7 linked regions of the Mus musculus genome follow. The protein of the gene in region 4 purifies or fractionates together with the protein of the main gene of each other region. This does not show direct contact. Links are inferred from orthologs where the notes say so. Each region holds a gene or a part of one and is shown on either strand. Other genes may lie near its edges.

Evidence for each region.
Region 1: the proteins of Tnks1bp1 (region 4) and Fhl2 purify together in Homo sapiens (affinity purification with mass spectrometry; 3 studies listed by BioGRID and IntAct, with this or other methods). This does not show direct contact. The link is inferred for Mus musculus from reciprocal best matches to the Homo sapiens genes TNKS1BP1 and FHL2.
Region 2: the proteins of Tnks1bp1 (region 4) and Capza2 purify together in Homo sapiens (affinity purification with mass spectrometry; 4 studies listed by BioGRID and IntAct, counting the BioPlex papers as one, with this or other methods). This does not show direct contact. The link is inferred for Mus musculus from reciprocal best matches to the Homo sapiens genes TNKS1BP1 and CAPZA2.
Region 3: the proteins of Tnks1bp1 (region 4) and Cnot7 purify together in Homo sapiens (affinity purification with mass spectrometry; 4 studies listed by BioGRID and IntAct, counting the BioPlex papers as one, with this or other methods). This does not show direct contact. The link is inferred for Mus musculus from reciprocal best matches to the Homo sapiens genes TNKS1BP1 and CNOT7.
Region 5: the proteins of Tnks1bp1 (region 4) and Cnot11 purify together in Homo sapiens (affinity purification with mass spectrometry; 5 studies listed by BioGRID and IntAct, counting the BioPlex papers as one, with this or other methods). This does not show direct contact. The link is inferred for Mus musculus from reciprocal best matches to the Homo sapiens genes TNKS1BP1 and CNOT11.
Region 6: the proteins of Tnks1bp1 (region 4) and Cnot2 purify together in Homo sapiens (affinity purification with mass spectrometry; 5 studies listed by BioGRID and IntAct, with this or other methods). This does not show direct contact. The link is inferred for Mus musculus from reciprocal best matches to the Homo sapiens genes TNKS1BP1 and CNOT2.
Region 7: the proteins of Tnks1bp1 (region 4) and Capza1 purify together in Homo sapiens (affinity purification with mass spectrometry; 3 studies listed by BioGRID and IntAct, with this or other methods). This does not show direct contact. The link is inferred for Mus musculus from reciprocal best matches to the Homo sapiens genes TNKS1BP1 and CAPZA1.

The regions. Positions count from the first base shown.
Region 1 is NC_000067.6:43,125,653-43,129,506, forward strand, and holds part of Fhl2 (four and a half LIM domains protein 2), read right to left. Parts: intron 2,779-3,854; coding exon 2,592-2,778; intron 1-2,591. UniProt on the Homo sapiens protein: May function as a molecular transmitter linking various signaling pathways to transcriptional regulation. Negatively regulates the transcriptional repressor E4F1 and may function in cell growth.
Region 2 is NC_000072.6:17,635,497-17,639,856, reverse strand, and holds the start of Capza2 (F-actin-capping protein subunit alpha-2), read right to left. Parts: upstream 2,848-4,360; 5' UTR 2,736-2,847; coding exon 2,697-2,735; intron 1-2,696. UniProt on the Homo sapiens protein: F-actin-capping proteins bind in a Ca(2+)-independent manner to the fast growing ends of actin filaments (barbed end) thereby blocking the exchange of subunits at these ends.
Region 3 is NC_000074.6:40,498,126-40,501,979, forward strand, and holds part of Cnot7 (CCR4-NOT transcription complex subunit 7), read right to left. Parts: exon of another isoform or gene 3,067-3,854; intron 2,789-3,066; coding exon 2,627-2,788; intron 1,315-2,626; coding exon 1,170-1,314; intron 1-1,169. UniProt on the Homo sapiens protein: Has 3'-5' poly(A) exoribonuclease activity for synthetic poly(A) RNA substrate. Its function seems to be partially redundant with that of CNOT8.
Region 4 is NC_000068.7:85,056,679-85,060,532, reverse strand, and holds part of Tnks1bp1 (182 kDa tankyrase-1-binding protein), read right to left. Parts: intron 2,408-3,854; coding exon 1,046-2,407; intron 1,024-1,045; exon of another isoform or gene 1-1,023.
Region 5 is NC_000067.6:39,541,916-39,545,769, reverse strand, and holds part of Cnot11 (CCR4-NOT transcription complex subunit 11), read right to left. Parts: intron 3,371-3,854; coding exon 3,168-3,370; intron 879-3,167; coding exon 782-878; intron 702-781; coding exon 504-701; 3' UTR 1-503. UniProt on the Homo sapiens protein: Component of the CCR4-NOT complex which is one of the major cellular mRNA deadenylases and is linked to various cellular processes including bulk mRNA degradation, miRNA-mediated repression, translational repression during translational initiation and general transcription regulation.
Region 6 is NC_000076.6:116,578,373-116,582,994, forward strand, and holds the start of Cnot2 (CCR4-NOT transcription complex subunit 2), read right to left. Parts: upstream 3,140-4,622; 5' UTR 3,086-3,139; coding exon of another isoform or gene 3,081-3,085; intron 2,833-3,080; exon of another isoform or gene 2,109-2,832; intron 1-2,108. UniProt on the Homo sapiens protein: Component of the CCR4-NOT complex which is one of the major cellular mRNA deadenylases and is linked to various cellular processes including bulk mRNA degradation, miRNA-mediated repression, translational repression during translational initiation and general transcription regulation.
Region 7 is NC_000069.6:104,836,859-104,840,712, reverse strand, and holds part of Capza1 (F-actin-capping protein subunit alpha-1), read left to right. Parts: intron 1-724; coding exon 725-931; intron 932-3,854. UniProt on the Homo sapiens protein: F-actin-capping proteins bind in a Ca(2+)-independent manner to the fast growing ends of actin filaments (barbed end) thereby blocking the exchange of subunits at these ends.

The sequences.
Region 1 (3,854 bases), on a different chromosome or scaffold from region 4:
GCGTGTGTGTGTGTGTGTGTGTGTGTGTGTGTGTGTGTGTAGAAAAATGTGAACGTCATGGGGGAAGGGAGTATCTCCTTCAAGACTCTTCTTTTGCCCTGAAAGGCCAGCATATGCAACAAGAGGTGGAAAAAGGAGCCAAACAAAACTATATATATATATAAAATTAGGATTCTTCATATATAATTTACTATATACATAGTATATATATATTCAATCTTTATTTTTAAGTTTTATATCCTATAATGTCCCTAACAAGACTGAATTAGCAAATACTGAACTACTGCTTTTAAGAAAGAGCAGGTTTCTAAAATCTTCTATTATGTTTCAAATGACCAAAGATGTTACTCTATGCATGCCTCTCTCTGAATATTAGACATTTTAATTTAATTTAAAATCACTGACATTAAAACTGGTCAACACCTTCTCTAACGTGTTTCCTCTGTTAAGACACATTGCCTTCTTATACTCAAGGGCACTACATGGAAATGCCCTGCCCCCCCAGTCACAAAAAATGTAAAAGACAAAAACAATCCCCACATCATTGTGGGACACATTATTTAAGCAGGGAGCTAGAGGCCAGGCAGTGGTGGTGCATGCCTTTAATCCCAGCACTGAGGAGGCAGAAGGAAGGGTATCTCTGTGAGTTCGAGACCAGCCTGGACTACAGAGTGAGTCCCAGCACAGCTAGGGCTACAAAGGAAGAAGGGAGCTAGAACACAGGGGCAGAGCTTCATCTATCCAGTGTCAGCCAGAGCATAGATGCGTGGGAACTCAAACCCACTGCTGCTTTGTGCACATCTGTGGGTCACTACCAGCAACCTGGGTATTGATTTAAAGTTGCATACCTATATGGATCGATACTGTGGTCAATTATGGATGAGAAGTAAGCATCACTGCACATAGAAAATTTTAAATTAGTGTTTTCCAATTATTCGTAAAAGCAGTATAAATTGTGTTGAAGAGAAAAAGTACTAAGGATCTATTAGAAACCTCATCGAAGCTCGGTATGTATAAGTGTTTGGAAATACAGCTAAGAGTACATTCTAGTTTGCAGTTTCAAAGTTCTTCTATATGTTCTTGAAAATCAATCATTGCTTTTCAGAGCATTAATTCTGCTGTTTTAAAGGAAGAATTCTGGTTCTTCTAACCTTTTCCCCAAATTCTATAACTGCAGCAGACATCCATGTCTAATATAAAGTACTTCACATTCATACTACGTTTCCATAAATTATAAAGTGTTGGAGACATTTCCTTAGCAGAAGCTAGGAAAACAGCTTCAAAGATGGGCAGGCCACTGAAAATGTCCCATTGTCCTCCCAAACTAATTTCAAAGGAAATACAGTATCTAAGTCGCTAGAATCAGATGTCTCAACAAAATTTATCTATTTTGTATATTTTAATTTTACATGCAAATAAAGCATGAACCAAGGCCTGCCAGCTGGGAAGTCCCATAGGAACAAGACAACTTGGTTCTAGGCAAGGTACACAATGGTCTGCAAGCGTGTCTGTATAAAGAAAGACCCTACCTACAAAGCTATAGGGGAAAGTCTGTGTCTCTCTGCTTCCTGCCACATATGTCTACTGACAGTGCATCAGGGATGATGCAATGTGGGCTGGTTAGCTTTTTGTCAACTCTATACAACCTAGAATTGTCTGGGAAGAGGGAACCTCTTCCAGTAGCCAAGTAGTCTGTCAGGCATTTTCTTGATTAATGATTGACATGGGAGGGGCAAGCCCAATGTGGAGAGTGTGACCCCAGACAGTGGTCCTGGGCTATACAAACAAGCATGTTGAGCAAGACATGAAGAGCAAGCCAGTAAGCAGCACTCCTCTATGGCTCTGCTTGGATTCCTGCCTCCAGGTTCCTGCCCCTTTTGTCTTCATGATGGAGTATAAACAGTAAGACAAAAGAAATCCTTTCCTTCACATGTTGCTTTTAATCATGGTGTTTATCAGAGCAACGAAGAACAAACAAAAACAGGTAGACTGAATGAATGGGATTGGAAAGACCACTTCAAGAAACACTCCTATATATGACAGAATACTTGCACTCTCACCCCCTGCCACTGATTGGTACATGGTGAAAAATCAAAGGGCTTTAGTCTGGAGCCAGTAGTCTTTACCTTCAATATCTTCACCATACTCAATAGCTCAGCCCAAATACTAGTCTGTCAACCAGGCACATTTTGGGCTCTCACTTTGTCTAACTCTTTGGGGACTGTGCTACTCAGAATGTGTCCCCACCTAGCTGTGGTTTGTGGTTAGAAGAGTCTCGTTAAGATGACATGAATACTTCAAATACCAGGTCTGCTGTTGGGGCTGAAATGCACCATTCATTTTGTTCATGTGACTATAATAGACTCAGACCCAAGCAGAAACACTCAATGACATGCCAATGGTTCTGCATCACCAGGCTTAAGGGGAAGCCACCAGCTGTGTTCTGAGGATACACAGCAGAGGCAAAAATGCTTGTTGGGCTCAGAGCCTCAAGATATTAACAACACTCTTATGCTAACACTCTAGACGTCCATGTTGTTCCAGGAAGCAGACAGTCTCTACCCTGGCAATGGCCTTCCCAGGACACTTACCACTAATGGGGTTGGTGCACCCAGCACATTTCTTAGCGTACAAGTCACAGAAGCAGGTCAGGCAGTATGGAAACTCATCCCGTGCTGTGAAGCGTTGCCCAGATAGCTGCTTCTTGCAGGCTGTGCACACAAAGCATTCCTTGTGCCAGGGCTGCTCCCGGTAAGTAACACCTCCTGTGGTGATAGGCTGGGGGAGACAAGTGTATGAGTCAGGGCTACCCCTGTTTCTGGTAAACATCTGTCACTGCTGTTGCCCATGAATGATGTAAGACACGAGCCCCACCCACAACAAATATGCAGTTTGTTAAAGTCGACATGGAGGGACCTGTGGCTCCAGCCACATATGTAGCAAAGGATGGCCTTGTCAGTCATCAGTGGGAGGAGAGGCCCTTGGTCCTGTGAGGGCTCTATGCTCCAGTGTAGGGGGATGGCAGGACCAGGAAGCGGGAGTGGGAGGGTTGGTGAGTGGGGGAGGGGATAGGGGGTTTTCGGAGTGGAAACCAGGAAAAGGGATAACATTTGAAATGTAAATAAAGAAATTATCTAATAAAAAGAAGAGAAGAGGAGAGGAGAGGAGAGGAGAGGAGAGGAGAGGAGAGGAGAGGAGAGGAGAGGAGAGAAGAGAAGAGAAGAGAAGAGAAGAGAAGAGAAGAGAAGAGAAGAGAAGAGAAGAGAAGAGAAGAGAAGAGAAGAGAAGAGAAGAGAAGAGAAGAGAAGAGAAGAGAAAAGAGAAAAGAAAAGGAACTTCATACCCCAGGCACCTCATGTTATCATCCATACCATTGCTACGGTTCCTGGCTTTCTCCCTAGTGATGTGGGGTCTTTAGGTTTCACAGTAGTGCAGGGGAACAGAAGGAATGAGTGCCATGGGGCATTGTCACCATCCCAGATAGGAAGGTAGCACAGTGGTCAGAGATAACATTGAAGGCATCGACTGCTACTTCTGAGCAGCCCTGAGATCCTGTAGCTAGAGACCTCAGTACCTCAGTTCTGTCTACAAAGTCGGAGTGATGAAGAGAAAAGGATGAATCTCTGTGGAAGCCTTCCTTCAAATCCCAGCAACTGATGGCCTCTCCAGCTCTACTCTCATGCTCAGCCTGTACAGTAACTAGAGAGGCAGAAAGGCAGAGGCTTTCTGGAACCTGCATCTGCTGGCGTGGGACCCTGAAGGCCTTTATCCTCGCCCTATCTTAAGTCATAGGAGGTTTCTGAAGAAGCTTCAAGGTGATAAACAGCTTGCCATACCTCAACTGCATCCAGTAA
Region 2 (4,360 bases), on a different chromosome or scaffold from region 4:
ATCACAGTACATTCAGTCTAGTGTCCTAGATACTTTCCCCCTTTTGTTTGTTTTTGAGACAGGGTCTCCCTGTCTCAAAAGAACTCAGAAGACCAAGCTAAGCTGAAACACGTTCCTCCTGACCAGCCTCCAGGGTACTGGGGATTACAGGTATGCACCAACACCCAGCTAATCTCTTTTTGTTGTTACTTTCTGTAAGGTGGCCTCAGAACTAGAGATCCTCCAGTCCCAGTTTCCTCAGTACTTAGATTACAAATCTGCTCTGCCACACCCAGCTATGATTAATTTCTAAAATGCCTCATTCCACAGGGGCAGTAAGAAACTATATAGCAGTAGCACACAATGTTCACATTACATAAAAATAAACTAGTTAAAAATGGTGAAAACACAAGGTTACCAGTTAGCCTTTTCACTAAGTATAAAAAACAAACTTAGAACCTGATACTATAAAGAACCATTGCTTTCTTTTTAAAAATAAGCAAATTGAAAACCAATATATAACCCCAGGATAGTCCTATAATCAACTTCAAGGGAACATAATGGCATTAAGTATACAAGCAAACCTTGAATTCTGATAAACTTAGGTTTAAATTTCACCTCTGCCATTTCCCTCCTATATAAGGCCTTTAAAACCTTAATTTACTTACAGGTAAAGGATAATAAAACTATCTACCTCAAACTTAAGTTAAAAAAGAAAATAGAACATTTTTCTTACATGATAAATACATATAAACTACACTATTATACATTGTAGTACCTCCCCTTCTTTAGACCTGCAAAACTGAAATGTAAAAAGTATTTAAAACTTACTCCTGAAAAATCACAAGCAAGGAAATAAAATAGAGAAGCATGATTTAAGAACTGGTCCTAAAATATCACAATTAAATCCATTTCTGATCTATATGGAACACCTTCCTAAAACAGTACAAGTCTACTGGGAAATAAAAGTGACAAAATATTGTTTTCCATTTACTGGTTATTTAAATTTCACTAGAAAGTTTAACCACTGATCTCTTAAATTAGAAAATACTGTTATAAAAATCTGTATGTGAAGTTACTACAGAATATTCCTACCTATGTCACAAAAAGATGCTAAATCTAAGCTTAAAATTCTCATTAATTTGTTTCCAACGTTATGCCAGCAGGTGAACTCATACACTACTCTGTAAAACTCAGCACACTGGGTGTCAAGGAATCTTCTCATTTTATTTTGAAATTTCCGGGCCTTTCCAACAACATGGCAAATCTACATTAATTCCCACCCTAACAATTCTCTTCTCACTATCTTCCAAGCCAATTGAGCTCCTCCTAATAATTATATGAAAGTACACAAAACATGAAAAAAATCGCTTCAAGAACTTTGAATCTGAAACGCTATTTTTCTTGTAATGCGCTGGTATATTTTCAATAAATAGCTTTAAACTATTCAATGCTACAAATGTAAACACTGTACAGCAACTTTTAGCGACTTAGGGTCTAATTCTGTGAATTAAAGTAAGGTATGCTTGTCCCCATTTTGTTAAGTTATCACCATTTCATCCAAGGGCACAAACGAGAAAGCCAGAACACTTCCAAAACCATAAAAGAGGCTGAGTTCTGAACAACCAAAGAGAAAGAGAACACTAATTCTGGTGCAGTATAAAAGGAGAGGGTCCCAACTGAAAATATCCTTAGTGTTTCTCTAACACCCTACTAGAACTGAGTTCTGTTTCCCACATGGGTGTACTTCATTTGGAACTTAAAAACAAGCTAAGATCAGACATTTCCAAAGGGCAGCACACTCATATGTCAGTTAAGTCTAAGTTTGAAAAAAACGTCCCGGTCTTTTCCAGAAAATACTCAAAACGTATGGCGTTCCCCCTCACACTACTTGCCCCTTGGTACGCGGTCTCCTCAGTCGCCAAAGAAAATGGGCAAGAGCCTTAGTTCAATGATCAGATTTCGTATCACAAATGTGAGAACTTGAGTCGTGCATTTGGTCCTAATGCTGTCACAGCATTTAACACACAGTAAAAGGAGTTGCACCCGCTCGCCCTCTTCAGAGTTGGTCCTATCAGGAAGATGGGATGTCACCAAATCTGCCCCAAGAGGGGGAAGCAGCCAAGTTGGGCAGAAAATAACTATGGGAGGGAGGGGTGTCTTTGTGAACAATACTGCCTTCCGGGGAACATGGGAGCAGCAATTAAAAAAAAAAAAAAGGTAATGACAATATTAATAAAAGAAATAGATGGCGGGGGGTGGGGGGGAAGGGGCGGGATGTGGAGACGGCGACCTCCGGAGGGAAGGAAACACCCTGGGGAACCAGGAAGCACTTCGCGTTGGGGAGGAGAAACTGCAGGAAAAAGTGAGGGTCGGCTATGCCGTCTTCCCCGCCCGCCCGCCTCACGGCGAAAGCCCCAGGCCAGGCGGCGCCGCTCCGCCGTCGGCCGCTCCCGAGCCCGGACCCCCAGGGCCGGGTCCCGCCGCCCCCGCTCCCGCCCGCGGCCGCCGGGCTCCGCTTCCTATTTTCGGAGCACACACCCTACAAGGAGCGGAGGGGCCCGGCCTCGGGGAGCCCGGGCAGCACCCCGCTCGGGAAGCGCAGGCGTGCGGCCCACCACCGGAGCCCGCCCGGGGTCAGACTCCGGCCCTCGCGCCTCGGCACTCACCTCTCCCGCCCTCCCGCCCGCCCGGCTCCTCACCGCCGCGGCACCTACCTTCTCCTCATCGGACAACTGCTCCTCCAGATCCGCCATCTTCCTTCTGGCGACAGACCGTGGCGCTGGTGGCAGCAGCGGCCACCTGACTTCCCCCTTTCCGAGCGGTCTTCCGCGCCGCGCGCCCCCGCCAAGGGAGGGGCCCCGCCGCCCAGGCCGCCGCGCACGCGCCCCGGAGCTCCGCCTCCCGGGAGCCGAGCCACTGCGCACACGCCTGGGAGCTCCGCCTCCTCAGCCTAGGCCGCCGCGCACGCGCCCCCGGAGCTCCGCCTCCCTCCCCCTGAGCGCCGGCCTGAGCGCCGCTGTGCGCGTGCGCAGCGCCTCCAAAGTGGGATTGCTATGGTTATCTTCTGTCATCCTGCTCTGTCTGGTGCCTTCTCTAGTCAACGATGACCATATGGACCCGGTTGGCGATGAGTACATTCTGAGCCCATGACTTTGTTCCCACCAAGTCCTGAACGCTGCCAGCTAAAATGTGAAAAGCTGTACCAATTTAAAACATTTTTAAGTATTAGGAAAAATACTGTTTTAATTGAAATAGGCACACACAATCCAGTCCATAATTGAAAGATTACTTTTGATATATTCATTTATTCATCCGAAAAACATTTATTGGTCTTTTATGATAGGAAGACTATTTTGCTAGTTCTTAGGAATAAGAAATGTAGATTTAAAAACCCAAACAAACAAAAATCCCAAAGAAAATGCTCTTAAGCTCACCTCTATTAATTAGACATTGAGTTAGGGAAGGCATTGTACTCCTGGAAAGTAAAAAAAAAAGAAAAAAAAGTTAAGTTAGCCTTGGATCTGTACCCTCATGAACTGGCTGTCCAAACTACTTACAGGTCATCCAGTAGAAATTTCAATTTCATACAACCAATTTTTAAGGTAAATGTCCCATGAAGGATTTAAAGCATTCTAAAACCATTATTTATTATTTTCAAATTTTACTGGATGTCTCCTACTTTTATTTGCTAAATCTGGCAACTCTACTACTGAAGCTTCAAGTTAAAGAAAAGGGGGGGGGGTGGAAGGTTGAAGTCAAAGCTGACACAGGAAGCAGCTGGAAATGTTGATAAAATTGAGTTGCTAGTTCAGCAGGCCTGAGCAAACCAGAGAATCTATATTTCTTACAAGCTCCCAGGAAGGAGGAGTGCTACTCGTCTGAAAACCACACTTTGTTTTTACCAAGGACTAAGAGTTTAGTTAGTAGTTAAGACTTCAATAATTAGAAAGTGAGAAGCTCTTGAGGGCATTTGGACAGTGTCACGACATGAACCGAACATGCTCAGCGGTGTCAATCTGACAGCTGTGTGTAAATGACAGGTAAGAGGACCCTAAAGAGCTCAAATAGCTATCTGGGTCCAAGAACACTATCATTAAGTGACTTACTAAAGTGTTCGTTTGCAGAGAGCAGGAAGAGGAAGCTGACATGTGCGGGAACTGAAAGTGTCCAGTTGAAGACAAACCCGTGGAGACAGCATGCAAGTTAACAAAGAACAGTGTCTGACCAAACCCCTCAGGAGCTACAAGTCAATATCAGTTCCCTCTTTTATAGTTCCTAAATCCTTGCTTTATTTATTGCTCCCTGCCATTGTAAGTGTAAGTATTACTGTTCGTCCAAACCAAAGCTCAGGAATTTATCCAATGCTACATAGCTCGAA
Region 3 (3,854 bases), on a different chromosome or scaffold from region 4:
CCAGTTCCAGAGGGTCTGACACTCTCTCTTTTAGCCTCTGCTACCTCTTGCTGTAAACTTCCACAGAAGTGAGTGAGAGTGTGTGTATCTTAAATATATATATATTTTTAAAAGATTTATTTTATTATTATATGTAAGTACACTGTAGCTGTCTTCAGACACACCAGAAGAGGGAGTCAGATCTTATTACGGATGGTTGTGAGCCACCATGTGGTTGCTGGGATTTGAACTCTGGACCTTCGGAAGAGCAGTCGGGTGCTCTTACCCACTGAGCCATCTCACCAGCCCTCTTAAATATATTTAATGCAATTAATATATCAACATTATTCTGGGCTGGAAAAATGGCTCAGCAGGTAAGATAACTTGGTTGGAAAGATAGCTCAGCAGGTAAGAGCACTTGCTGTTTTTGCAGAGGACACAGGCTCAGCCCCAACACAGCATGGTGGTTCACAACCATCCATAACTATAATCTAGGAGATGGGATGCCCTCTTCTAACCTCCTCAGACAGCAGGCACACATTTAGTGCATATACACATGCAAGTAAAATACCCACATACATAAAATACAATTTAAAGTATCTACAACAAGACAAAAATCCAACCAAGGAAAACACAAAACCAAAACAAACCTTATCCTGTTAAGATAAATACCGCAGCTTTGAAGAGAGATTGTTTATTAAGAATAGGATCAGATAATTTAACTAACTTTTTTCTTTTTTTTGGAGACAGGGTTTTTCTGTGTAGCCCTGGCTGTCCTGGAACTTATTCTGTAGACCGGGCCAGCCTTGAACTCAGAAATCTGACTGCCTCTGCCTCCTAAGTGCTGGGATTAAAGGCATGCACCACCACTGCCCGGCTTAACATAACTTCTAAAACATGGTTTAAAACATTCAGGCCTAAGATATTATAGAAATTACTTGGTCTAAATTGTGCTTCTCAACCTTCCTAATGCTGCATCCTTTAATACAGCTTTGTTGTGGTGAACCCCAACCATAAAACTATTTTTATCGCTTCTTAACTATGATTTTTCTGTTATGAATCATAATATAAATATTTGTGTTTTCCAATGGTCATAATTGATCCCTGTGAAAGGGTTGTTCAACTTCCAGGTTGAGACTCATTGGGCTAACTAATGTGCTAGTTCCGGATAAAGTCATCTGAAGCCTTACTTTGAGATTTTTGCAGCTCTTCATGAGGTACTTCACATCATAAATGACAGGAAAAAATAACCGAAGGATCTCAAAGAAATCAAGTTCTTCCTCAGGCAAGTTAGAGTTGGTCAGAATTTTGATTAAATAGCCAAAGTCATAACCACTAATAAAAAGATTAAAATAATTCAGAAAAAAATACATTAATACCATACAATGAAAGAAATTAGTTTTTCAGATAGAAAGTTAAACAAGTCATACTATAGGCAAAAGGATTAACAATAACGTACACACAGGAACAATGAAAAGAAACACGTCCATAACTACAGTGCAGAAACTGATCACTCAGCATCTTGAACACATGATAGTATAAATTTAACTCTACAGTCACTAAAATAACATTTTTCTGATATGTAAGCTGGAGAGATGATGTTCAAACATGAGTATTTTTGACCCCCAATACCCAAGTAAAAGCTGAGTGTTTTATGTCAACCACACAGACATGCAAGTGCACACCCCAAAAGATAGGTTCAGTAAGGTCACTGCCACAGTGAATGGGAAGGTATGTGAAAATGTAATAAACCAGCAAGACTTAACATGCCAAAGGCAAAAATCATGTAAAACCTTGTCACCATTTACATGAGATGGTGACACTTTCCAATTTCGAAGAATAAATCCCTAACAGAGTATTTCATTTCCACTAAGTGACTTAATTAAGATGTACATTTCCTCAAATGTTTCTATGTCAGTATAACTCTCCGAGACAGTTGTCAATGGAAAAGTTAAATGTGACAGGAACTAAGGAAAAGTAAGAACTGGTTTTTTATACAATACAACCCCCTGCTCCCTCAAACTGACGTCACACATCCTTTATCACGAGTCTTCCCACAGCGGCCTAACTCCTTCCCCTCCTGAAGTCCTCCTGTGAAGGGCCTGTGCCAGCCTTCCCTGAAGCCCAACCCCAGACATCTCCGTACAACAAGCGTTTGCTGGTGCTGACCTTTAGGTTCATGAGTTTCCTCCACTGGGTTAAAGGAGAGGAATTATAGCTATAAAGTATCTTTTTCTTACCTATAATTTAAACTCATTATTTGGCAAATGACCTTACTGAGCCTATCTTTTGGAGGACAAACAAAATCAACTTTTATTTGATGTTTATTATTTTACTTGTAATTTGAAGGAGGAGAAGTTTTACCATAGAAGATCTTTGGTACACGCACCCAAGAGCAGGTATGTGTGGTTTTGGTTTTGTTAAAAGATCCACAGCACTGTTCTCAGTGAGGTACTAGACAGACTCACGGCAGCTAATTCCTTCTAGAGCTAAGCACAACACTGCTGACACAGTAACCCAGACAGACGTAAAAGGCAGATGGGACAGAAGCACACTGCAACCCCTTATTTATTTATTTATTTATTTATTTATTTATTTATTTATTTATTTATTTATTTATTTATTTATTTATTTATTTATTTTTTACCTGTGAAATGATAGCCATTTGACCCCTTCACAAAGAACCACTCCTGAAGTCATAAGAAGTTCTGCAAAATATTGGGTCTCAATTCCTTCCTCCTCGTGTTTTTTAAACTGGATACCAGATGTTGTTAGTAGCTCTATAGAGTCCTGAGCATACATGTCCTCCCTGGCAGGAGAAAGAAAACGAAAGTTCAAAATTCCCATTAAACAGTTGTTCTCCACTTATGCCTACAACTACAATGCAGAAACAAGACAGAGGATTGGTTTATGTCCAACCATTCAAATGCTTCACAATGATCAAGAAAAATAAAATATGAGGTATCCAAAAAGTAAATAATCATTCAAAAAGTCCAATGGTGAGTTCACCCTTAACACCAACTCAATTTCATCAGCTTCTAAACATTACATACATTTCACTGGGCTTAAAAAGGGTCTTTTACTCACCAGAGGCTACCACAGACATGTTCTTTTCAGTCTCTGCAGCTATTTTAGTGCTGCCAGATGGAGCTGTAACCACAGCCATGAGGGGTTATGCACACCTCTCATGCTCTCAGCAGAACCAGGAAGGAGACACCAAGTGGCCAACATCTCTTGTGGCTGAGTTAAACTACATTCCATCTTAAAGAAAAAGGAGATGCCTCCTCTCACAAATGAGGAGCCTTTCAGCGGCTCTAGTTAAGCAGTGAACTGTTCAGATAAAGACTCAGTTATGACATCATTTCTTCTTCAGCAATCACATACCTACATTAGAGGCAAATACAATCCTAGACGACTACCTTAAACCAAGCCAGGAAGCACACTATAAACCAGCTCTTCAAACTTTTACTTAAACCACACAAAAAGCCACCTATAGTTTCTAAGCACAAATACATTAAGTATTATATTAAAAAGTTGAAGATTCATGAAAAAGTATCTTGTGGATTTATCACTTATTTTTATTTACTTTTTAAAAAACCTTAACATTGGTTTCTACCATCAGCAAAAGAAAATTTCTATAAAAGACTTCAATAAAACTAACAAAACCAAAATTAATGTTTGATTTTCATCAGATGTATTTTTGTAGCTTATTCTCTGGAAATCAATTTCAAAGGTCAGTTTAGTTCCCAGACTGTCAGGAACTAAATGACAAAATTAAGAATTGAAGCATCTAAAAACAGAGAGGAGCCACAGTCATCACTTTCAAACATCATGCTTTCTCTTGAAACATCCTGTAGGAAAGATATCAGAATAAA
Region 4 (3,854 bases):
CTCAACGGGAATTCCAGTTGTAAAAGCCAACACTTAACAAAGCATTTATAATGAGCCCAACACTAACCTCGGTCCTTTTACATGCCCTAACTCATTTAATCCTCTCACTCTCTGAGCTACAGCCTATCACACCCTTTGACAGACACAGAGACTGAGGCTGAGGGTAGAAAAGTATCTGACTCACACCTGGGCAGGGAACTGGTTAGAGCCAACTGAGCCCAGGTAACAGACCTACCCTAGCAGATGAACCCAGGCCCTCCAAGTCCGCACAACACTCCCTTGCATAATAGGCCCAGGGAAAACAGGTTGTCTCCTTGCAGTGCTGTACACTGCATGAGGCACTGTCTCCAGTTCACTGGAAGGCTACGTAATGAAGGTGCTTACAGCACAAGCACTGGCACTCAAGTTCAGCTCCCCAGTACCCAAAGGACTTCGGCACGTGTCTTTAATCCCTGTGATGGGATGGGGAGGCAGAGACAGGAGGATCTCTGGAGCTCGCCAGCCAGCCAGACTAGGTAAATGGGTGAACTGCAGGTACAGTGAGACCCTGTCTTTAAAAACTAAGATGCCTGGGGGGCTGGAGAGATGGCTCAGCAGTTAAGGGAGCTGGCTGCTTTGCCAGAGTTCCAGAGGTTAATTCCCACAACCCTCTGTAATGGAATCTGATGCCCTCTTCTGGCATGCGAGTGTACGTGCAGATAGAGTACTAACCACATAAAAATAAATAATAAATCTTTAAAAAAAAAAAAAAGATACCTGAGGCTGATGTGGCCCGTGTATGTGTGTGCAGCATGTGCAGACACTTTTATGAAAGGGCAAAGGTTACAATTACGTTTCACTCCTAAGACCGCTCAGCTAGCGAAAACTGGTGTCAGGACTGGAACTTAACAGCTGAGCCCTAAGCACAGCCCTAGGCAGTTCTGCAAGCACCTGCAAATAATGAGATGTGGGTGCACAGCCCTCTGTGGTGTCCATGTTAAAAGAATGAAGCCCACCTGCACCCTACCCCTGATGCCCCATCCCTCCCTCCCTTTGTCCACCTTACCTCAGAGCAGGTGCTTGGTGACTGTCTATCCTTTAGCTCAGCTCCAGCTGCCCGCCGCGCACTGCCCGAGTTGGGTGGTGGTGATGCTAGGAGGTCATCCAGCCATCGAGAACTGCTTTCAGGGCCTGTAGGCTCAGGAGACACACTACAGGGTTCCTGAGCCTCTGTCATGGGCAGGGTCGTCTCCGCCCAGCCTAGGGTCACCACGTCCTCCTCAGTAGACAATGCCTGCTCAGGATCGGGCACATCCACAAAGAGGATGCAGGGTTGGTCAGAGGGTGTTGGCTGCTGCTGTCCCAGCGCTGGCTCTAGCACAGGTAAGGCCGCCTCCCTTGCAGCCAAAGTAATGGGGGACTCGTGCCCCACTAGTGGCTCCTGGTCCTCATAGTTCTCCTTTGCCTGCAGTAAGGGTGCTCCAGGTGGGCCCTCAACTGTAGAGGGAAGAAGAGCTGGGGACCGAGGCTGACTCTCTCCATCATCTCTCTGGGGTAGGGATATGCCTGGATCATTTCCCTGAACCCCAGAAATAGGCTTTCTGGGGCTCTCTGGAGCTGGTGGGGTTCCTGGTCCCACCTGGGACACACCTTCCCCCCTGCCAGATACAGCCCAACTGTCAGCTTCAGCAGCCTCTGCGGCCTCACTGGCTTCTGTAATGGGAGATGGAGGTGGGGAGTCCAGCCGCCACACGCCCAGACCTGAGGGCCTTGTGGGAAAGGTCCACTCAAATGACTGTGACAAGCTCCAATTAGACTCTGTCCCGCTTCCGAAGGGACGATCTAAAGCAGATTGGCTCCCCTGACCTTGGGGCAGAGTAGCCAGCGAGCCTCCCAGCTTCTCTTGGTCCTGGCTAGGTGGCTGGAGCACGCCTTCTGAGAAACGACGCTGAGCCAGGCTGCTGGGACGAGATTCCGTGTGACCCCTGGCTGCTGCCTCCTCCCCACAGGGGAACGTTCGTGTAATGTCCGGCAACTCAGCCCCCTCAGTCAGGAGTTGAGGCAAGAGGACTGGGGGCTGCTCTGGGCTGTGGTGCCCTGAGACTGTCTCCACAGGAGAGCTGTTGGGGCTGAGGGTTTCTGGGGCTGCCTCAGCAGGTAACTCTGAGCTAGGAGAATGGCCGGGAGGCTCAGCAGGCAAGACTGCACTGGGGGAGGCTGGAGTCACAGGGAGGCAGATGGAAGAAGCCTCAGAAGCTGCAGGACTTTGGGTTTCTGAAAGTTGAGAATGGCAGGGAGAACTCGGGCGGCTTGAAAGCCGGGGAGACTCCGAGGCTGGGACAGAGATGTTAGCCAGGCGGACTGCACTGGTAGAGCCGCCATGCTCTGAAACAGGGTCTGCACTTGAGGTGACCCAGGTCTTGGAAACCTGCAAGAGAAAGATCAAGAGTTGTCACTCGGTTCTCAGCTGAGTCTAAACTCACACAGGGAAAGGCTCAGGAGGTGAACTCAAGCAAGGCTCCTCTACCAGGTCATCGCCCCAGAAAAGGTGCCACATTCTAGTCACTTGGCAACATTCTCACTGTTTCAGTGGCTCAAACCCCAAGGCTCACCTAAGGTTCTCCTCTGAGAGGCTACAGTTCTCGGGCAAATGACCCACACTTTATAAATAGAAGAAGGGGGAAATGTTGACTATGTACATGAAACGAAGGGAGAGGGCTTGCCCCCAGAACACTACAAGTTCATTCCAAGCCCAGAGCATCTCCTAGGATGGCCAAGTGGAGGAATGGATCTCCATCCTCTGCTCTGAGCACAGGTCTCAGTACTACCCAAGGGAGCACGGAGGCTGTGGATTCAAGCAAAGAATAAGGGGAGTCCTGAAAGGCACGTGGCTTCTAGCAATCCTTGGACTGTCTCCTATAAGTTGAACATCTCATTTCCACGGGATCTCTTCGGTCCTCGGGTTCACACCTGTACTTTAGGACTGATACCAACGTCTATGTCAGAGTTAGATAAAGATTAAATAAGATTTATGCATATGGGCCCCCGGTATAAAAGAAAAAGAAAAATCTGCTGTGGTTACTGGGAACAGAGAGAGGAGATGACATCAGGGAAAGGAAGGAGACAGAGGTGGCACCAGGCTTCTGGTTCTCCTGCACTGTTCCACTCTGCTTTCTCCCAAACACATTAAGTGAATTCACTTAATTTGAATGAATACAGACACTTGCCCAACTTCTGAACCCTCCCCGCTATGCCTGAGCCACTGCCTCCAGTGTTGTCATCGCCTGCTGGATCTACTTCTTTTCCAACCCCTAACCCCAACCCCCAATCTCCCCTGCCATAATCTAGTTCCCAAACCTGTGCCTTTAAACTGTATCGTTAATGCCCCATCCCATCAGTCTCCTGAGAGCCACTTATTCTTTGAAAACAGTGGTCACTGGATGACCAAAAGCCTGCCAGCATCACCTTTACAATTCAGAGTGGTTCCGAGAGCAGTCAGCTCTCTAGCATCCTTTGGTTCCGTTCCCTGCACTCTTCTGAGGTCATCCATTTAGCCCCAGCCCTTCCCAATAACTCTCATCACCACCATCTCCAGTCTCAGCTTCAAGTCGGCCACCAGCCCAGTCCATTTCCTATTTGTCCTGTTCATTCTTTTTATGTCCCCAGCTCTCTCATTCCTCAACCCCTTTGGGAAGCAAGGGTCAGGAACCCTACTTCCTCCTCGCAGCTCCATCCCCCCACCCCCACCCCCACCCCAGCCCTCAACTCTCTTTTACCACTATCAACAGTTGCCTTTCTCACAACCCTCGATGCCTTCTCTCTGTTCCTCATACTGTTAAAATGCAGCTGTCTGCCCGCTCAAGAACCTGGGCAGC
Region 5 (3,854 bases), on a different chromosome or scaffold from region 4:
TCGCAGCCTGGCAGAGTGCCCATGCTTGTCAGTGGGCCAGGAACACTGTTGTCAGAAATGTGCATCCTTGTTTCACACCTTGCTTACTAAGAGCCACGCTCACCGTAAATTCTCAGCGTCTTCACTCACTCTCACTGACCATGCTTCACACTAGAAGCTACGAAAGCAAATTCCTGGTTTTTCAGAAACCTACAGTTTGTTTTCTAAAAGAAACAGGTACTGTGTTTTAAATTCAAAAGAGCAACACCTACACCTTTCTTGCAATAACTATTTTCAGAATAACTATTCATATGGATTGTCATCAGCAAGAGAGCTAAAATAAACATTTCTCCCAAGTTCTCACCAAAATTCATCCATGGGAAACATCTAGGAAAAAGGAAATTTTACTTTAAGTAAATAAAGTCATTTATATTTCTTAGATCAAGCAATCCACTCAAGAGTTACAAGTTTAAAAACCAATCCAAATACAGTTGAACAATAGAAAGGGAAGTTCTAGTGAGGTATTATTTTGATATTTTGGTCTCTGAAGGCGTTTCCCCAGTATCCAGTGTCTTCAGCAACCGGAATAGGCCTGCAGCTTCCCGTATCCTACTAAATTCAATGCAGAAGGCCTGCACTTCTATAAACAAGTCCTGCACGTTAATAATTTTGTTACGGATCAAAGACTGGAGAAACACACACACAAGACGCACCAAACGATTCTGGAAAAGAAAAAAGGAACAAGTTTTAGAAACTTCTTTTCTTGGCAAATGACAATGTTATAAGCATTTACATTACTCACCTGCATATATTTATCCTTAATCTGTTCACAAGTAGAAATGCAATTGGATATGTATAGGTGAATAAATTCAGGAGGTAGGTCAACAGCTGTAGTTAGTCTGTTTCACAAAAGAAAAATCTGAGCTGTTAACTGTGTTTGCTAGTATTGGAAAGTACTGTAATCATGAAGTCAAGCCTTCCCTGTGATCATCTGATAATGATTTATATGACCCAATTCTCTAGTTTTAAACCCAAGAGCCACAGGCACTTAACCTCTGATGCTTCTGTTAAGTGTGCATCACGAATTATACTCTGAGATGATCCATTAAGCAGTTAGTATCCTATCCCTGAGCGTGCCTGGCTGGATCACTGTCAATCATGGTCTCCCTCCTTCCAAGCCTCAAATAACCAGCAGTTGTTGCCATCACTTAAAACTTAGAAAAGTCCTGTCAGTTTAAGCACTATGAGAGGCAGCGTGTCTGAGGTGACGTATAGACTAAACAGAACAACCTATAATCAGACTAACGTAGAGCTTTGAAGAAACATGAACCTGGCAAAAAGCCTTGAAAAGTTACTTAGCTGATATGGAGCAAAAAGGCCTTCCTGAGAACTGAGCAAGACAAACAGGCTTGGAGTCAGCCATTACACAGGAACAGCAGCTGTGTAATAAAGCTTAGAGTCATTGAAGCCAAGACAGTTCTTCCCAAACACGTAAGTGAAGTACTAAGATATGGAGTCAGGTAAGAATTCCACACTGAGTTTAAGTTCAGCCCAAGAAGCATTTCAACACTGGGCTGGCAACTGCAAACCTTTTGCTACAAGTGTGAAAAGGTAAATGAATACATGCTGCCTCTTCTACATCTATGCATCCTTAAACTAAGGCACTGAAGTACCTTAAGAAAAGCTACAACTGGGCTGGAGAGATGGCTCAGCCGTTAAAGGCTAGGCTCACAACCAAAAATATAAGAAAGCTTCAACCAAATCCCAGCACTCGGGAGGCAGAGGCAGGCAGATTTCTGAGTTCGAGGCCAGCCTGGTCTACAAAGTGAGTTCCAGGACAGCCAGGATTATATAGAGAAACCCTGTCTCGAAAAACCAAAACAAACAAACAAACAGAAAAGAAAGCTACAACCAGCCACCATACCCACTGAGACCTGCATCAGCAAGGCTGCTTAATACTTGGAAAAAGCCAGAACTACAAGAGTGCAGTGAGGGGGATCCATGAACACTCAGATTGCTCCATCCAAAGACAGAACTTAGCCAATGCAAAAAACAGCAACTGTGCCAGGCGATGGTGGCGCGCACGCCTTTAATCCCAGCACTTGGGAGGCAGAGGCAGGTGGATTTCTGAGTTCGAGGCCAGCCTGGTCTACAGAGTGAGTTCCAGGACAGCCAGAGCTATACAGAGAAACCCTGTCTCAAAAACAAAACACAAAAAAACCAGCAACTGCAACTATAGTAAAGGAGGTGCCAGCAAGGAGAGGTGGAAGCAAGCACCAAGTTTTCCACAAGAAGCCAGGCAGCTCTGCCAGTGACAGAGTCTTACAAAGTAACTGGAAACCCATGTGCCTTTCCTCGCCCAGCCCTTTCTTGTGCACAGAGCTACCAGCCAAGCTGTCACCAGATGACCAGACATTCCTTAGTTCAAGTTTGAAACAACTGCCAACTTATATATGGATGCTCAAAAAATTGTAACCTGGTTCATACCCATGATTCCAGCATTCAGAGAATGAGGCAGACAGGCTGCTATGAATTTGAAGCTACTAGGATACTATGAGATCCTATCCAAAAAAAAAAAAAAAAAAACCTCAAAAAAAATAATACCCCATCTACCTCTCACTACATTTAATTCACAATTTACCTAAACAATATCTGTAAGGAAAATAAAAGACAAAAACTATACAGAACACATCAACAGGGAATTCATTCTTTCCTTGATGTTTAATGAGCAAAATCAAGAAAGAACTGGGAAACTGGGTGTGCTGGTCCACATCTTTGATCCCAGCACTTGGGAGTCAGAAGCAGGTGGATCTCCATGAGTTTGAGGACAGCCTGGTCTACACAGTGAGTTCTAGGACAGTCAGGGCTCTACAGAACAACAAAGCCGGGAGAATACTAGTAATCACGACAGCATGCCTAGATGACCAGTTCTGAGACCCACACGCACAAGCTGCAACTCCTGGCTGCCAAGGAACATAAAACCTGAATTTGTAAGGGGCACGTGACAGTGAAGTAAATTCAACAACTGAGTTCTTATGAATTGAAATCAAATTCATATGCAGTGAACAGCAAAGATTAGTCAGGGTAACAGAATCAGGAAAGGGGAGAGAAACTACTCCAGCTTTTCAGACTTCTGGATCATATAATCAGGGCCTGTGTACCCGCTCTGGTGGGACATGAGAACTTACCGATTTACAACTTCCATTGAATGTAAGGACATGTCCATGTTGACCAGGACAGAGAAATACTCCGTGATCTGGCTTGACTGCATCAGTTTCAGCAGCATTTCTATAGCGACTAAAGGGTTGTTCTCCACTAGATCTGGAAGTTTCGCTGGAGTAAGGCCAATGTGATAAACAAGTTTGGGATCTTTTTCCAACTCACCGAGGAGCTAAAAAAGACAAGTTGAGAGGTTCTTGAGTTATGTTAGAGAATTTTCCTGTACACAAATGGAAATGTTTTATATAAATTACAAAAATTGTCTTTGTTAATTTGTTAAATTTCTTCCCTCAAAGCCAATACTATGTCTTCATATATTTTCAGATCTGAATTGCAATGGCACAAAAATAAGCGACAATTTAAAAATCTACTAGTCATTCTTCCTCTAGACGTGGTAAGCCTTGGTTTTGTCTAGTAATATACACTATGACAATAGTGTCATTCTTAAAGATCTTAATTACCAACTTCTCCCAAATCACACAACCAAGTTGATTGTGGTAGCACACAAATAATACAAGCACTGAGGCAGGAGTTGCCCGCCTTGGCTATGTAATGAGCTCAAGGCTATCTGAGATATATGGCAAGACCTTGTCTCCATTTTTTCTTTAAAAAAAAAAAAAAAAAAGCCACACAGAACTCCATAAACTAGAATAATT
Region 6 (4,622 bases), on a different chromosome or scaffold from region 4:
ATAAGCCTTCCTCCAATGTCTGCTCAAACAAACATACAGGATCTACAGCCTGCTTTTAAATGTGTGACACCAAAACTAACCCTATAGTACATTTTTTAATGTTTTATTATATGTGGCTATTTGTGTGGATAACAGAAAACAATTTAGGGAAGTTGATTCTCTTGTTCCACCATATGGGTCTCTCAGATCAAACTTCTATCATTAGGCTTGGTGTCAAATGCCTTTATCCAGTCAGCTATGTCATTCATTTGACAGTTAAAATTTTAATCAAAAGATACTACAACTTAATATCACTTCAAAACAAAACAAAACAAAACAAAATTGTATACTTATTTTTACTGGTTTACTACTATCTACTCATACTCTAGTTAGATACAAAAATCAAATTTTCTAATCAAGCAAATTTGGCCATTAAAAAAAAAAAACCTATACTATCCCATGTCGTGTAAAAAAATTCTATAATGATCCATTAAAGTTTAAGTTTTGCTAATATTAGCACCTACTTAAAAACAAGCAGACTGCCGGGCGTCACACTTTTAATCCCAGCACTTGGGAGGCAGAGGCAGGCGGATTTCTGAGTTCCAGGCCAGCCTGGTCTACAGAGTGAGTTCCAAGACAGCCAGGGCTAAACAGAGAAACCCTGTCTGGAAAAAACAAAACGAAAGAAAGAAAGAAAGAAAGAAAGAAAGAGAGAGAGAGAGAGAGAGAGAGAGAGAGAGAGAGAGAGAGAGAGAAAGAAAGAAAGAAAGAGGAGAAAAGAAACAAGCAGAACACGATTACTAGTATTTCTAACTTGCCAGCAGTATAAAATATTTATTTTTGAAGTTTTAAATAAACCTAAGGCATCTCTGAAAAACCAAAAAGCACCTACCTTTATATAGGGAAATTAAAGGTAATTATTATTTTAGGGAGCCTATTATTTGGAGTTTGATTTCATTTTCAAATCAAATAGTTCTCAGATGGCTAGGCTATAAACCACTCACAGACATCAATCTGCTTCATTTTCCACCATACACCATTTATTTGTAAGCACTTTAGAAAGGCTGTATTTACTGATACGTTAATGTGCAGGCCACTCTCAGCCTGGAGCATCTGGTAAGGTTACAGGTATCTCTAGACTGCATCTGAGAACCAAAGTGCTCTGCCAACACATGCACTACCTTATGTGTGTCAATAAAGCATTAATAGGAATGCAAAAAATAAAAAAATAAAAGTCAAATACAGTCTTTATTTCTGGTCTAGAGTTAAAAACAAAAACAGGCACTTTTTTAAAAATGAAAAGGTTTCACTTTAAAATTAAGGATCTTGCAAAGTCAGCAAAAGTGAAAAGTGGAAGAAGTTGTCTGTGCATTTTGAACTTTTCCTTTAGCTTTAAGATGACAACAGACTGGATAGGCAGAGCACAAGGGACCATTTAGAAAACATATTAAAGACACAAAACCTGAACACAGACAAATATTTGAATGTAGACAACCATTTCAGTGTACTGGATTTTTAAACACTTCCAACTTGGAATAAAATTACCTTACAAAACTACAAAGGTGACTTCTGAGAAGGAACTGTTGTTGAATATACAAAGCATTCCCAAACATAAAACTGTTGTGAAAGTTACCACCCACTTATTTGGAAAGGGAAATCTATAGGAACACGATTCCATCTCCCTAAAACTTCTCACTATAGAGAGTAATAGAAAATGTATTCAGTTTTGAACATTAAGTGTGTCCCTTGTGAACAGATCTGGTTAACGTTCTACCATTTGCCAATAATCTAAGGATCATATTGCTGTATTTTATTAGGAACTGTCCAGATGATTAAAGAGAAATCTTTGACTAAGGATTTAATGAAAATGAAGCAAAACACTCTTAACACTTGTCTTCCCAGATGTTGAAAAGTGGAGATGTCCCCCTAGGATTTCCAAGAAAGTACCTATGTGTAAGATTTATTTATTTTTATTTTCTTTTGGAGGTAAAAGCGTACTGATTGGATCTAACGTAAATGCAAATAACAAAACCTTAGAAATAATTTTACAAAAATAAAATTACAATTAGATTTCCCGAAGGGCCTACAGATAACAAGAATTATAAGCTTTTCTCCTAAGCAAACAGTACCTCAATTAAGAACTACCGGGTTTCTTTTAACCCAACTTATTTCTTCTATGAAACTTTGAAGTGAAGACCTAAAACAAAACGGCAAAAGGTAGAGGGGGCCCGGCGGAAGTAGAAACCAGGGCTTGCAACTTCACAAGAGTGGCTCGGGTTCCTCCTCCGCCGCCCCAGGACCATCGGAACTCAAGAGGCTACACCACTAGAGAGGCTTCCCACTCCAGGCACGGGGGCAGAAGCAGCATCTGAGTTTCTCTCTCGCCTTTCCACCTTGCAAGAAAGGCCCCTTCGGTATAGCTCAGGGCCTGGAGGCTCCCGAGGCCCGTTAGCCAGTGCGATGTCCCCATCTTACACAAACAAACAAATAAAAAAAAAAAAAGAAAGAAAGAAAAGAAAACCACACAAGTGGCGGAGGATGCGCGTGTATGGCCAGAAACGTAAAGCTTCAAGGACCAGCAGCTGCTGGGAACGTGGCAGGCAGGAGCCGTGTCCAGTGGCCGGGGCTCCTGGATGCTGCTGCCGCCGCCACCGCCGCCGCTGCCTTCTCTCCTAGCCCAGGAAGCAGCACGGCGGCAGCGGCTGCTCCGCGCCGGCGGGAGCCGGGGAAGCCCCGCGGCGGGCAGCGGGGGCCCGGGCCTAAGCTCCGGAGCGGCTGCGGCTGCGGTAGCTGCGGTGGTGGCGGCGGTGGCGGCCCGAGCACGGCGACGCTTTACGTCCCGTCCACCCCGCCACACACCCCCTCCCTCCTCCAGCGCCGCCACCCCCTCCCCGCCCGCCCGCCCGCCCGCTCCGCTCTTCCCTCTCTCGATTGGAGCCGAGACAAAAGCAACGGGAAGCGGCGGGCCGGGACGCTACCCGCGGACCCCGGGCGCGACCGGACCAGCCCCGAGGCATTCCCCCGCCTTGAGGGGGCCCCCAATCCGCCTCCCCCGCCGCGTGCCCCGCCGCCAGACTTCCGAAAATTGGCCAAAAACTCACCGCATGAATTTTCTTGTCCCGCGGATCCAAGATGGCGACGTATCCACCGCGGAGGCTGCTGGGAGCAAGACCTTTACCCTCTGACCCCCGCCGTGACCCCCGTCGCTCCGACTCCGCTCGAAGGCGGCGGCGACGGCGGCTGCAGCAGCAGAAGCCGGCGAGCGAGCGAGGCTCGCCGAATGGACGGAACGCCGCCCGTACGCCAGTCGACCGTGAGAAGCACAACGCTCGCCTGGAGCCTTCCCGGGCTTCCGCCGCCTCCCGCGGAAGGTGCGGCGCTGTCTTGTGGCGGTGACCGAGGAGAGTGGGGCCTGGGCGGCCTCTCCGGGCTCCCGAAGCCAGACCGCCGCCACGCCGGGAGCTGCTGCGGCCACGCCTGGAGCTGCGGCCTGGGGTCCGAGCGAGCGGGCGAGCGCGGCCTCGGGGGCGGGGAGAAGCCGAGGGTGGCGTGGGTCCGCCCACCGGGGGACGCGCAGCGTGTTTGTGTTTGTGTTTTCCTCGGACACCCCGCCCCCGAGCACCTCCTGCGGGCTGTCCCCGGGCTGTCCCCAGCCTGCTGCGCGGCGCGGTGCGGTGCGGTGCCTGCGGTGCTTCGGTCCTCCCACCGCCCCGCTGCCTGCGCTACCTGGGTGCGCTCCCCCAGACACCCGCCGCACGCCGCCCGCACCTCCCGAGCAGTGAGTTCCCCTCCGCTGGAACCTAGGCGTTTGATCGCCGCCCCCTCTTCCTTTTCATGCTCCCCTTTTTTTTACCTGCCCCCCCCCCCCCCGGTCTAAACCTGGTGAGAGGAAGTAAGGGGGAAGCGTGTTTTTAAAGCACTGCCGGGAGTACTTAATCTAACCGAACGGTGTTTGTGGCACTTTATTTAGTTCCCGCCCGGCGCGCCCTTGGTAAACCTTAGTGACCAGCTGGCTCATCCACTAGACCTTTTGAAAATACGGTGGCTGTGGTTGGGAACTAAAGTGTTTTGCTCTCCAAAGCCGGACTGTCCCTGAAAGTGAAATTACTTTTTATTGCTGTAATACTCTTAGTTTACACCTTTGAACATCCACAAACTTCGTGTTTTACGGTTACTTAACTTGCTAAAAAGCCTCTTTGTGCTTTGAAGTTGCGAGTTTCATAACGTATCGCTGTTCATGTTTGAGTGGTAGAGCTTACTAATGCGGATTACTACTCATTTGAAGTAAATAAAGTTTCTGCTGTAGTTTAATAAATTACCTCCTTCCAGCCCGCCAGTCTATATAGTTAGATATAGATTCTGTGATAAACGGAAGCGATATATATTTTTATCATAGAAAGCTAAAGGCAAGAAATAGGATACAATAGCCTACGGTGAAATTAAAAGTACCTTTGTCATGGTTTTGAAAGTAATTTGACATAGCAGATATGCAGTATCAGCAGATATGCAAATTTGTTTAAATGCGGACAGGAACTGGTGTAGCCAGTAGAAAAAAAAGGTTTATTTTGCTAGGTTGTTCATTTCATTAAATACTCCTTTTCACCGTTTTGTGTTTTGTTGGTTTTTCACTTTAGGGAAATTCA
Region 7 (3,854 bases), on a different chromosome or scaffold from region 4:
TTTAAAAATTCTTAGCCGGGCATGGTGGCGCATGCCTTTAATCCCAGCACTTGGGAGGCAGAGGCAGGCAGATTTCTGAGCTCGAGGCCAGCCTGGTCTACAGAGTGAGTTCCAGGACAGCCAGGACTACACAAAGAAACCCTGTCTCGAAAAACCAAAAAAAAAAAAAAAAAAAAAAATCTTCTTTCTGGTAATATTAGGTGGGTTCCCCACCACCACCAACCCATAGGAAAAAAGAGTGCCATTGACTTGACATGTAGGTTCCAGAGCAGTGCAGAGGAAGTCTAACAAAAATAGCAGAGACATTAATTTAGAATTAGCCTAAGTTACTCAAGGAATCTGCTGCTTAGGAGATAGGAACACGAAAAGGATTTCATTTAGTACATTTTTGGACCATGTAGCTGTATTACTTAAGTGCTCACAATAATACAATGGCCCTGAAAAATTTTATAAAATATGTAAAAATGAATACATGAGAATTGGTGTGCTAGTATAAATATATATACATGGATAATACATTAGCTAGAAATCAAGATATAAAGGGTATTGTTGGGAGGAAGAAAACATTGTTTTATTTTTATGAGAATAAAAATGATACGTGCTTTAAAAGTCATTGTGGAAAAGAAATTAAAAGTTAATTTTCTTAGGATATTATTTCTTTTTGCAAAACATAAGAATTGTCTTTTTTATAGAACTACTTATATTTGTAATTCTTCTCTGGAAGGTCTTAATTACAGAGCATGGTGACCTTGGTAACAGCAGATTTTTAGATCCAAGAAACCAAATTTCCTTTAAGTTTGATCATTTACGGAAAGAAGCAAGTGACCCGCAGCCAGAGGATGTGGATGGAGGCTTGAAGTCTTGGAGGGAGTCGTGTGACAGTGCTCTGAGAGCCTATGTGAAAGATCATTATTCCAACGGCTTCTGTACTGTTAAGTATCTGCCTGTCCCTCGGAGAACAGATTAAAGTTACTTTTCTTACGCTTACCTTACCCTTTTGAACCTTTGCCCCACCAGACTTTACTTCTTTTCTCTTGGTTATTGTCATCTCCTTATTTTATTCCTTAAATAATTTCTAAATTTTTGAAATTTCTTTCTTAAAGATTTGCTTTTATTGTTTTTTAATTAAGTATGAGTGGAGGGAGGGATTGCATGTAAGCCCAGGTGCCCCTGGAGGTTAGAGACATTTGTTCCCTGAACATGCACTTACAGATGTTTAAGCCGCCTGACATGGATTCCAGGGTTTAAATCCAGGGCCTCTGCTAAAGTAGTATATGCTCCTAATTACTGAGCAGTTTCTCCAGCCCTAGAAAATTTGTTTTTAAAATCTCAGTGTATAACACTTTAAAATATCCATATATTACATTTTATATTTCTCTTATTTACTCACAATAAATCACCTCTACCCATCAAAAAGTTATTAAAACCAGGTTTGATAATATACTTGTAATCTTAAAACATTTGGAAAGTAGGGGCAGGGGCATCAGGAGTTCAAGGCTGTTGTCCACTCTACAAAAGTTAGAGGGTAGCCTGGACTATGAGGCATCTACTGAGAGTGCGGAGTGGGTGGTGGGATTTATAGTTGATTGTATCATGCTTAGCTTACTGGGTTTTTAGCTTTTTGTTTTTGTTTTTTGTTTTTTGATGTTTATTTGTTTGTGGGTTTTTTTTTTTTGTTTTTGTTTTTTAAAGTAAAGACAGAACCTAGAGACTGGCACATGCTAGGCAAATATTCTGCCGCTTAGCTGTATCCCCAATTGTCATTATAGTTTGAAACAGGATCACTAAGTTGCCCAGGCTCTCCTTGAAACTTATTCTGTAGTCTAGGTTGACAATGACTCTTTAGTCTGTCTGTCTAAGAAGCCCCAAGATGCTGGGAACCCAGACTTGCACCAGGCCTGCCTGCATTTTTTTTTTAATTAAGATTTATTTATTTATTACATGTCAGTACACTGTAGCTGTCTTCAGACACTCCAGAAGAGGGAGTCAGATCTTGTTACAGATGGTTGTGAGCCACCATATGGTTGCTGGGATTTGAACTCCGGACCTTTGGAAGAGCAGTCAGTGCTCTTACCCACTGAGCCATCTCACCAGCCCCCTGCCTGCATTTTTAACTTTGTAGCTAGTAAATAAAATTGTATCTTTATAGGATGCATAACATGATGTTTTGAAATATACCTTGTGGTATAACCAAGTTGAGTGTAGAAACTTGGAACATATTAACTTTCCCCCTGGGTGGGTGGGTGGATGGGTGGGTGGTTGGTTGGTTGGTTGGTTGGTTGGTTGGTTGGTTGGTTGGTTGGTTTAGATGGGGCCTCAGTCTATAACCTAGTCTGGCCTTGAACTTGAGATGATCCTCCTTCCTAAGACTATATACTGTGTCCTGGTGTTTCAGGCTTCATTCACCACACCTGACCTGTGTGTCTGTGTGTCTGTGTGTCTGTGTCTGTGTACAGTCTACTCTCAGCAGTCTTCAAATATACAGTACATAGTTACTAGTTAGACTTTTAAATCTGTAGAGAAGACAAATATAATAGGGATATAGCTAGTTAAGATCACTATGAATTCTTGAGTGGTTTAAATCCTAAACCAGTCACTTAACTAGTTGTGTGGCCTTTGGTATAAATTACCTAGCATCTCTGTGCTTCAGTTTCCTCATTTATATAATAAAACAGTGTATTGTGAGGATTCAGTAAGTTAATGAAAGATGTTAGGACCGTGTCTGGCACAATGTAATCTATACATAAGTGAAAGGTGCCATTATTCTTACATGTTTTATCTTTTCTAAATAATAGAGGAAACACATCATTGTAGCTAAGTACAGATTTCCTTTTTAAACATTTTTCAGGAAAGGAGACAATACATTCTCTCTTGGAAATCAGCTGGCCAATCTAAAGACACTTTCAATTTACCATTATTTCAATTCAAAGTTTATCCTCATTTTTATTTGTCTCTTTTTTGAGACGGGGCCTTACTATGCAGCTTTAACTGGGCTGGAACTCACTATGTAGACTGATCTCAAATTCAGAGATCTTGCCTGCCTCTGCCTCCTGAAGGCTGGGATTAAAGGTTTGTACCACTCTGCCTGAGAGCTCAGTACCTAAGAATCCTATTGAGACAGACCTTTTTTTCTATTTTTTTTTCTTTTTAGTTACATGAGCTACAGAAGGTGATAGAATTGCCCCAGTGCAGCCTACAGTATCCTAGTAACCTGCATCCTTAGCATCCTTAGAAGCCTCTGATTTTCTCTTACTCTGTGTCACGTTTTCTGTACAACATGTTCCAGACATTTTCTATTATCAGATGAGCATCTAACCTCTTACATCTAATTAGAATTGAGACTGACTGAAATTTTATTCTTGTTTTTCCATACTTAGAAACCTTATTCTTCCTTCCATTATACCTTTTTTTTTTTTTTTTTTTGGTTATTTTATTTGTTTATATTACAAATGTTAACTCCCTTCCCCGTTTCCCCTCTGCAAGCCCCCTATCCCACCCCCTTCTCTTTCTATTATACTTGCATCTGAAGCAGAAGGATCCTTCTTCTTGGTTTTATACTGTCCTCTATCTTCAGGGTGGCTTCGTGTACTTTATTTTCTATTCTGGTGTATTCCCTATTACTTAGGCATAAGCTCTTGTATTTGATTTTAAAACAGTCTCGTGTTGGCTTCCTTCCATCTTCCTGTCTCTATTTCCCAGGTGCTAGGATTAAAAGCATGTACCATCATGCTGGAATTAGAAATAGTTCTATCACCTTTAAAGGGAAGTGAAGCTGTGTCAATCACATGAATTCTGTAAATTACTTCTGTTTCTTTAAACTCCTCCTTGTACCTCTTATTTCTTCCTCTTCTCTG